2 linked regions of the Drosophila melanogaster genome follow. The protein of the gene in region 1 interacts with the protein of each later gene in a biochemical or structural test. Each region holds a gene or a part of one and is shown in the gene's direction. Other genes may lie near its edges.

What was found.
Region 2: the proteins of Lar (region 1) and nerfin-2 form a complex in vitro, tested with the Drosophila melanogaster proteins (one study listed by BioGRID).

The regions. Positions count from the first base shown.
Region 1 is NT_033779.5:19,604,387-19,609,579, forward strand, and holds the start of Lar (Leukocyte-antigen-related-like), read left to right. Parts: upstream 1-2,182; 5' UTR 2,183-2,695; intron 2,696-5,193. UniProt on the Drosophila melanogaster protein: Possible cell adhesion receptor. It possesses an intrinsic protein tyrosine phosphatase activity (PTPase). It controls motor axon guidance. In the developing eye, has a role in normal axonal targeting of the R7 photoreceptor, where it negatively regulates bdl.
Region 2 is NT_033777.3:10,069,262-10,074,284, forward strand, and holds nerfin-2 (nervous fingers 2), read left to right. Parts: upstream 1-1,855; 5' UTR 1,856-1,913; coding exon 1,914-3,386; intron 3,387-3,446; coding exon 3,447-3,637; intron 3,638-3,768; coding exon 3,769-4,192; coding exon of another isoform or gene 4,193-4,432; 3' UTR 4,433-4,500; downstream 4,501-5,023. Other genes in the region: Alp13 (alkaline phosphatase 13), read right to left, coding at 4,599-4,693, 4,761-5,023.

The DNA.
Region 1 (5,193 bases):
AAATTGAAATTTTGTTGTTTCTAGCGAGAATTTCTATTTGTCCTCATTCTGTTGTCATCATAAAGATGTTTTAAACTATGCAGCAAGATATTTCCACTTTAACTGAATACTTTTGTACATTTAATTTTTAATACGATGGGAAACACATTAATATACATATGTGCCTTGTTTATATGGACCTAACTGAATTTAATTATCTTGATTTTTATGCTTATCACTCCTGATTGCACTTATTGTGTGGATTTTTATTGAATTCTCCGTAGCGCCTTTACTTTGGTGGCATTATGGGCGAACGCACTCACAGAAAAAGAAATCGCACATAAAATTTTGTTATGACACGCCAACCACTCCAATTGTTTCACGTTAAAGCCGCATAAAAGTAATACATAAGTAAGGAAGTCGGAGAAGTAACAAAACAAAAAAAAAAAAGAGATAATTTCTTTGAGGCGGGATACTCACATGAGCAACAAATGCAGTTCATTGTCGGATCCTTCGTTTCCTTGGCTTTTTCTGTTGGCGTTTCCCAGTTTTTCCCACGGCGACTGCTGTGTCGTTTACATATCGTTTTTTGGCCCTCATCTCCTTTTTCTGGGCCACGTCGCGCTGTCTAAACGATTTACGACACTTTGGCCAACTGCCTCACGCACACATTTGCAATATTGTTTGTTTGTAAGTTTGTGTGGGTTGTGCGCGGGCGAGTGTCTGTGATATTAGCATGTAACGAACACACACACACACACACACAGATGCAGGAACAGGAGTTAACTTGGCCAAAAGGCAACACAAAATGCCGCACACGTTCGTTTTTATTATGTTAAATGTCTCCTGGGGCAGGAACATCAGCATCTGCGAGTTGTTTCCATCTGTTCGGTGGCTTTCTGCCTTTTAGCTTTCCTCCCTTCCTTTTGTCTTCTGACTTTTGGTAACTGTCACTTGGCTTGTTACATTTCACATTCACTTAGACTGCAGGATTAAATCTGGAGCGCGCCAAAAATCTAGCTAGCCAGGAAAATTAGCACAGGCCGTTTCTCGCCTTTTCCTGCTCGGCACTGCGCTGGTTCGCCCTTCTGCGAAATATCCTGCCAGCTCGTCCTTTCAGCCGATTTCAGCTTACTGCCCGCCGCTCCAGTTGAAACTGACGACTGGCGAACGACGGTCAAAGTCAATGGCGGGCTTTTCGTGGACGCGATTCGCTTTTCACCTTCGTCGACGGGCTCGGCGCCTAAAAGCCGAACCTTTCCGATTCACCCACGTCGAAAGCTCGTTTAGCCATCTCACCAGGCTCTCTTCGAGCAAGTCCTTGCTGAGAAGGATTGAGTTGCCTTAATCGCAGATTTGCTTCTCTTTGGTTTCATGTTCTAAGCCTCGCAGGTCTCGAATCTCGAAATTGAGTGAGTCTGTTTTGTTGCCTTTGAGCATTTAAAATGCGTTTACATTTCTCATATAAGCCTGTACTCTTTGCGTCTGCAATTCGAGTCCTTTTTAGTTGAGCTATAAATGTTATTACCCAGCAAGCACTTCACTCTAAGAGAAACATTGCTGGTTTTGCTATAAAAGCACTCAGTGATTATCTCAATGTTAAATAAATTAGCTCGAATCGAGCGAGCAGTGTAAACTGGATTTACCATTCCCATACATTTATAAGAATTAAATAATAATTTTTATAATGCTAAAGAAAATCCCAATTTTATATTAAATATAAAATATTTTTTGAAACTCATGCTAAAAATGATGTTTCGTAATTCCTCTCAGTTTATTTTACATTTTTTTCAAATTTATTTTATGTTATTTTATCAAATATTCCTTGCACTCAACTGTTCCATAACATTTTAAACTGAGTGATTTTTGAATGCTATTTAGAATCACTCCGATTTGTGTGCTCTTAACATTTCCCAGAATGGTTTGTCTATTCGATTGAGTTCTGAGTACAAAGTGAGTTCCTTTTGAGTAGCCATCCTTTGGTGTTTCTCTTCCATCGCTCGCAGCTTCGGCTGGCGAATTTCTCGGCTTTTCCGCTCTCCGGAAAAATCCACCACACTCGGCGCTCGGTCGGCGCATCCTCGGGCACGCTGAAGGACTCTTCGGGTCGAGTGGCGACTCACAAACGCACACACTGAACGCGAGGAAAACACGAGCATTGCTGCTAGCAGCCTTAGCCAATCGTAAAAGTTTTGTACGTATTTAGTACAATTTCGGGATTTGGCAGGATGTAACGAGCGTGTAAGAAACAGAGCGCGTCCTTCTCAGCCGTGTGTGTGCGATAATCGGGCAACAAGCAGCGCGACAGCAAATTGTATATTACACAAAATTCGCAAAAAATCCAACGAATCGTTTGAATCCAATTTCGAGTGATATAACATAACCACAGATCGTACTCGGTTATAATGCAATAGCAAAGAGCCGCAGCATTTCGAAAATCCGGCAAAGTGATTTTAGCCAAGTTAACCAAAAACCAAATCGTCGAACTCCTCGGCTTGCCTCGGTTCAACCCCCTTCAACCCTTTCTCCATTAACTCGTTGTTGCCGCTGTACTCGTACATATGTGTGCACTTGTTTTTGTGAACGTGTTTTGCCGCAAGCCGGTTAAAAAATTATTCCCATAATTACACCATCCGAGTTGCAGGCGAGGAACTTCCGCGAAACATAATTACCGAAGAACAACTGACGTAGCCGATAATACCTGGCGGATAAATCGGTAAAATCTAAAGAGAAAACAAACTCTGAAAATTATCAGAAGCCTGGTGTGTGGTGTGTGCGTGTGACCTGGAATTTCCTTATGAATATCGATATATATATGGACTTTATCCTTATCGTCCTGGCCCTGCTAATAAGAAACGGCAATCCTGTGCCGCTGCTCGAGATGGAGATTGAAACGATTGCCCCGGGGAGAAGGGGATTCCTTCGGTCTCCCCATCCTTTCTTCCGTAATAGTGTCGTTTCCTTTATTTGTCCTTTTATGTTTACCTACTTTTTCTTTTTGTGCTCCGTCGTTTCGTCGTGGTTTGGTTTGGTTTGGTTTAGTTTGCTCGCACACAATTGAAAATTCAATTGATTTACAAAATGAAGTTTACTGGTTGGGACGACAGATACTTTTTATCTATTTTCATTTGCAGTTTTACGAGCGAGCAGCTCTTTTTTCGGCCCGCTCCTTTTGGCCTCAAAGCGAAACGGTTGGCAATTTTTCACAGTTCTTTTTCGATTGAGGTCCTGGCGGGGTTTCCTGCAGTTTGGTGCGAAAATAACGCTGCGTCCTGCAAGGATTGTTGTGGCTGATGTTTTCGCTGCCTTCCGATTCGGGTGTGCCGAGAGTGTGTGTTTGTGATTGGAGCGGCCTAAAATCGTTTTAGGACCAGCTGCGAAGTGATTTTCAGCTAAGGCGAAAAAAGGACTGCAGTGTGTGTCCTGTGTGAGTGTGGGTCTGCAGATTGACATAGTTATGTCCTCGGCAAGTAATGGGAAGTTCTTGGCAAGAGCTCAAGAAAATTTAAGTTTGGCCTGGCCTTGCAAAGCTAAATAAGATTCTATATATATAGGTTGTTTTAAAGCCAAAATGTTTACTAATGCTTAAAGCTGTTCTCAAAATGAAGCATTTTTCAATTGACATTATCTGCTATTCAATATTTTCAAGCGAGTTCCTTATTCAGAGCCTTCTGCTCAATTCTCTAGTATAAAATATTATTTTTGAGTAAATTCTCAATAAAACTTATAAAAGTAAATATTCTGAAAAAAAGCCTTTCCAAGTGTTTTGACAAGTATTTAATATTTTCGTTGTAGAAACTCGTACAACACAACTCAACCTAAAATGTCTTTCACCACTTGCCTCAAGGAACTTTCCTCGTTTTTGGTGTCAAGTGTTTTTATTAGAAGCAGAAGCAGAAAGGAGAAAAATTGCCGACGAAGGGGCGAAGTAAAAATTTTTCCTTTCATTCCTTTTTCGATCCAAACTTGAAATGAGGTTTGAAACAAAAACGTTTTTTCTGCGCCAGTGTAAAATAATACGCATACGCCATGTATAACGAATACCCAAAGTAGGCTTCACAAGTGGTAAGGGCTACTTTCTTTGGCAGAAACAGAATCGAAAATCGTAGGATATGGTTGTTAAAAACTATAGGCTATTCTATGGCTTACATTAGCCTAATTGAAATTATATCGCTTGATACATCGTTCGCAGGGCTTGGGGTTAATTAGGTGCTGACCAAGTTGAAATTACTATGTAACTTGTTTATTATATTAACATGTGGTTGCTCCTATTGAATGAAAACAGTAGCTAGATATATATATATATATAGATGGATGGATTGATATTGATAAATGAGAGGGGGCTTAATTTGCTCTTTGCATTTCACAGCGACTCGAACTATCCCCACTCCCATTAGCCCTATGGGCCTCAGTTGGAGCCAAAGCAAAAGGACTAGTACTTCAATGGGCACCCCCCCCCCCCCCACCTTCCATTCTCACTGTTCAAACAGCGTTTTACCATTCGTTCGTCATGCCATCGTTGGCTATATAAAGGCGGCTGATCGGCCACGCCCACTCTTCTTTTTCGCCGCTTGTTGTTGACGTTTACAATTTGGTGTTGAAAACTTCAGCTGGAAATTGGGTAATACTCGTGATGATGGCGTTGGTTGGATGACTGCAGCAATCCTGCATTAAGTACCCTCCTGTGTCTGGATGTCGGTGTGTGTGTGTGTGTGAACGCGAAGGGGTTTGCAACAAAGAAATTTTAATTTATATAGAATGAGTTTGGGGGCGGCAATACCTCCATTTTCCACCACCTCTCTCTCTCCTTTTTTTCGGCTGCAGTCGTCGACATTCCGATGTTCGTGTTCTGTGCTCACAGTGCTCTCACTCACTCACTCGTTCGCACATGGAGACCGAAAAAAATCCAATTATTTTAAAACTTTTGACAACTGCAACAACAAGGCGTTGCAAGGCTATGAAAACAATAAGAAACTGACTGAACAGCCAGAGGCAACAAAAACAATATATGTGTATGTATGTATGTAGGGGAAAGTCGAAAGTCCGCAAAAAATCAAGCAGAAAAATGAGTGTGAGTGCTCGAAAGGGTTGCCAGCCATTATAACTTCACTTGAAAAGTTTAATTGATTTTTACAAGTGCATACATATACATACATACATACATATATATATATATATACGGAGATGGACGCAAAAACATGCATACGTACATAT
Region 2 (5,023 bases), on another chromosome or scaffold:
GCTATGCTAATGAGCTGCCGCTGCCCCCCAAGAAGCTGACAATTAGCCGGGGGCGAGGAAAAGCCGCAAACTGAAACTTGTTGACCTCGTTGCCACAACAGATCTTGGCCAGGCTCAAAACTTAATAAGCCATCTACAATAAGCCATCTACATTTTTTTTTCACAGTTTTTAACCTTCTTTATGGGGCTGGGAAGCCACTTGTTCGTTCGGTTGTGCGACGGAGTATAAAAGTTCGTAATTTAATTTCAGTTTATTAGTCGGAATTGTTTTTGACTCTGCTGCAGCGCACGAGCCTGTTTTCCGATGGCGTCGCGACGCAACAATTTAATTAGATTTTTGTAGACCGTTTCTTTAATTAATTGCATTCAGCTGCAATTAAAGGCAGGTCTGGATATCGAAAGATAACTCGAGTGTCAGACTTTTACTATCGATTTGCCAGTATAAATCACGTTATGTTATAATTTTTATAAAATGGAATATTTATTAAAATTTATCTTAAGTCTCACTATTATATTATTTTAAAGACATTTACAATTTATATAGAAAACTAAAAGAACGTTCTTAGCATGCTGTATAAAATTTTACGTGTTTGAAGCCCTGGCTTAATTCCATTGATTTACCTAATTTTTTGGCCAAAAGCTGACGCCATTTTGAAAATTCACTTGAATCGCCAGAGGGGAGCTGCATTAAATTTTCAAAACCACAAAAAGAATCCTTTGGTTCTTAAAATGTCTGAACAACGCTGACCATGATGATGATGCCAGGGGGAGTAAAAGAACAGAACTCTGGCCGATGGAAGGTACATGGGTCTGGGAACAAAAGGTGCACTCACCTGTCAACGCCCCAAGCACAAACACCATTTACACCACTCCACACCCCACAGCTAGCCACCCACAAAAGTCATGTGGAATGGGTGGCTTAAACTCCAACGTAGTGCAATGAAATTCTTCATCTACAATTCAATGACATTCCATTCTGGGCTTTGGACGGGGCGTGGCAAGTTGCAGGACGCTGCCAATAAGCGTGCCCCCAGTGGAGCAACAGATGATACATTTATGCAGCGCCCCCTCGTGGGCCTGCATCAGGGGGCGTGGCTGCGCATGCGCCTACCGTGCGCGTGGGTGAATCGGGGGTGGGATGGTCGAGCTATGTCATCCGCCCGGCGAATCCCAGAGCAGGCCGCTCAGGATTCCGCCGCAAGGTGCGAGCGAGAGCCGTACATCCACATCCCGTTCAATAATGCGGGTGTCCAGTGGATGAGAGAGGGTGGTTGGGTGGCTGGGTGGTGGTTACTGCCTTTCATTGGCTTCGCATTCAAACCCAATTTCAGCTAGCAGCATTGCGACAGGTGACCGTCCGCCGTTCAGTTCTCTTTGAAGCCTGCCGCGGGTCAGTTGCGTGTCACGGAAAACCCTTAAGTTAACTGCATAGACCTTGGGCTAACCAAACAGTTTTCAGTGATTCCCGATTAAAGTTGAATATCTAACGAAATTTTTGAAATTGTGCAAAATACACATTGAATATTTGAAACAAGAGCAAGCCAACAAAAAATGATGTGAAGTGCTACACTTAAAAACACAATAAATACGACGATAGTTAAAAAATAAATTATCAAAGTGCATTAAGTAATCAAACATATCAAGTGTTAGATGAAGCAAAAGGTACATTTTTAGAATAGTTGATGTTTTATTAAAAATTTAATTTTATAATTAAATACCCATTTTATATATATATTTATATATATATATTGGATTTACTATTTATTTGAGAAACTTTATTTAAGTTAACTTCAAAGCCCAAAGCCCAATACTATAACACTTGACACTTTATTGTGCAAGAATAGGAGTGATTACTGACTTCAAATGAAATACCAGAAAGTTGACGTTACAACGCAATAGAAAAGGGGAGAAAAATGATGAACATGAATCCGCCGACGCACCCGCACCCGCACCATCACCCACATCCTCATCCACACCCACAACCGCAGTCCCATCTCCAGTCGGTGCAGCATCTTGGCCAGCATCAGCCACTGCCCGCCCTGCTCCAGGGCCACCCAGACACCACTCACTTCGTCGAGTGTCGGGCATTACCAGCAATCAACGAGACATTTCCGCAATTTGGCCAGCATCGTCCGGCTATTTCGCTGCTCTCCCCCTTGGATCTTTCATTGCGCGCCGCGGCCAGTGTAGTGCCAATTACTCCACCCTCAACGCCCTCGCCGCCTCGCAAGCGCCAGAGATTAATGTCCGAGGAGAATTACCTGTGGCGTCCGCACATGGCGAGTCCTGCAGCTCCAGCTCCAGTTGTTCCGTCGAGCCTGGCAATGCAGCCGGGCTACTTTCATCATCATCAGCAGCAGCAACATCAACTACCACACCAGCAACATCATCAGCCATATGCCACACGCAGCAGCTTGGAGGGCGCTTCCTTTAATAAAAGTCATTTTCACGGGACGAAAAATAACTTTGAGCAAATTCCGGCGGGTCAATCGAGCGTCAGCTCGCCCATCTACGTGGAAGATGAGACCATTGTGCTGACCGAGGACGAGGATGAAACAGTTGTCAGTTCCCATGACTACAATGAGTACGCCACGGACACGGAGGAAGTCAACGAGGGCGACGATGAGACGCAGCAGGTACAAGTCAGCGTTAATGGCGACGATGATGAGGAAGAGGTGTTTGTCGATGTCCTGGGCAGTGACGATGACGAGGATGAGGCGACGGACCTGGTGGCCACAAGATTGCAGGCCCAACTAATAGAGACCACGGCCCTGAAACGCAATGAACTTCTGTATGAGGATGAGGAGCTGCACAACCAGGCGGTAAATGGTTTGGCCAGACTCTTTGACCGGGATTTTCCAGAGCCAGATGTGGAGGTTTCCGGTTTGGCGGAACTCCAGAGCAACAGCGGGAAGACATACACGGATCTGAGTGGCGTGGCAACGGCGGAGATTAGGACTACCAGTTCCGACAACCTTCCACCGCCTCCTCCACCTCCTCCGCCTCCAGCGACTTCTACAATCCCTGCTACACCTCCACTTCCGCCTCCACCCATATCTCGACCCCACAAGGCGGAACGTAGGAGGTCGAAGCTACGAAAACACATGGCCATCGATGAGGAGACCATAAGTCCAGTTTCTGGCACCATCATTCGCAAATTGCGCGACGACGAGGAGCTGGTGGTGCGCAAAGGCGACATTGATCCGGCTTTTAACGTGGTCGAAATCACCGAGGAGGCCAAGGCCATCCTGGCCAGCATTGACAACAAGATTGGAGACTACATGTGCCAGCTCTGTCGCACTGTCTACGATGATGCCTTTATGTTGGCCCAGCACCGTTGTCCCCGCATCGTTCACATCGAGTACAAGTGCTCCGAGTGCGAAAAGGTTTGTGGTCCGAAGGAAGGATTCGCTTTCCAGGCAACTAAAACACTTTTTCCTTTGCAGGTCTTTAATTGCCCGGCCAACTTGGCCTCCCATCGCAGATGGCACAAGCCCAAAGCGGAGGCGGCTGGAGTTAATCCCGCCAAGAAACGAGTTGTGGAAACGGGCGATCTGGTACAGGAGGCGACTAGGAGCGGCGATGATGCCAGCGATGGCATTTATCCTTGCCATATATGCGGAAAGACTTTTCGACGGTGAGTTAGTAAGACTTTCGGAAAAAAACTATACAATTTAATTAGTTATTTGGTATTTAAAAAAGTTGAAATTTTAAATATTTTTAAGCAGTTAATTTGAAATGTTTATATTTATTTTCCACAAACAACAGTCAAGCTTACCTAAAGAAACACCAGGCCTCCCATCAGATGTTGGATAATCTCAAGAATCTGGATTTCTTCAAGTCCCAGCAGCAGCAGTTGACCATCAATGGCCACCAATTGGCCGATCATGTCCAGCTGCAGCATACAACTGGACAGGCGGTCACATCTGCCGCTCCCTATGCATCCTTGCCACGCCCACCGCCTGGCATGCCCATGTACCCGCCGCCAAGTGGTAAGAACTATCCGGGTGGACAACGCTTTCCGGGATTTCCCTTTCAGTCATTCGATCAGCGTCGATTCTACTCTCTTGGGGAATTTTACCTATCGCAGCACTTGGAACGATCCTCGGCCTTCCAATACGTGCAGGCCAATCACCTGAGGCAACTGTCCAATGTGGCCCAAACTTTGATGCCTCCTCTGCCCGTCAAATGACCCAATCCGAATACGAATGTCCTGCGGCCGGTGCCACGCATTGCGGCAACAGCGACGGCAACGGGACCTCCAGCGGCAGCAACAGCAACAAGGCAAGCGGCAACTGCCGCAGGAGTGTCCTCCGTTGGCCACGCCTTTAATTGGGTGGCTCCGTCGACCGCAGGTGCAACTGCAACGGGAAGTGCAACTGCAACTGCCACGGCGACGACTGCAGAGTCCGGCGGAAATGTTATCATGTGACTTAACAACTATTAGCAGCATTGAATCAACGATCTCTAGTTAAAGTTTAATAAATCAATCAAATTATAAGGACGTCTTTTATTCGGGCTGACAGCTAAAGAAATTTTATTTAAACACATTTCATTTTACCTAAACATTTTTATTACATATACATGTGAATAGTATTCTAAGGTCGAACTCTACTTCTGCTAAGGACATGGGATATTGCATGTGCCAGAAAGGTTTCTTTTCGAACACCTTGAAAAATTGAGGACTTGGGGCCTTGAAATAGTTATTAATAAATAAAATTAATAAATATAACTAGGATACCGTAGAATAGGTTACTCACCCTGTGCAAAAAGTAAGCTTTCAGATGGCATTTGGTGCAGTCGTTTTTGGATCTCAGATTCCGCCTCATTAAATATCTCCGGAAGAAGGCTGATTGTCTCGGTTTCTTCGCTGACATCCAGGCTTGGTTTTGGATAAATGGCATTGGTCATTAAAACAAGAGTTAAAGTATCCTGATCTTTGTGAAGATTAACCAAAGTATCATTCAAAAGCTGCAACTGCTCTCTTTTGTCAATACCCGATGGTATAAATTGCTCCACTATG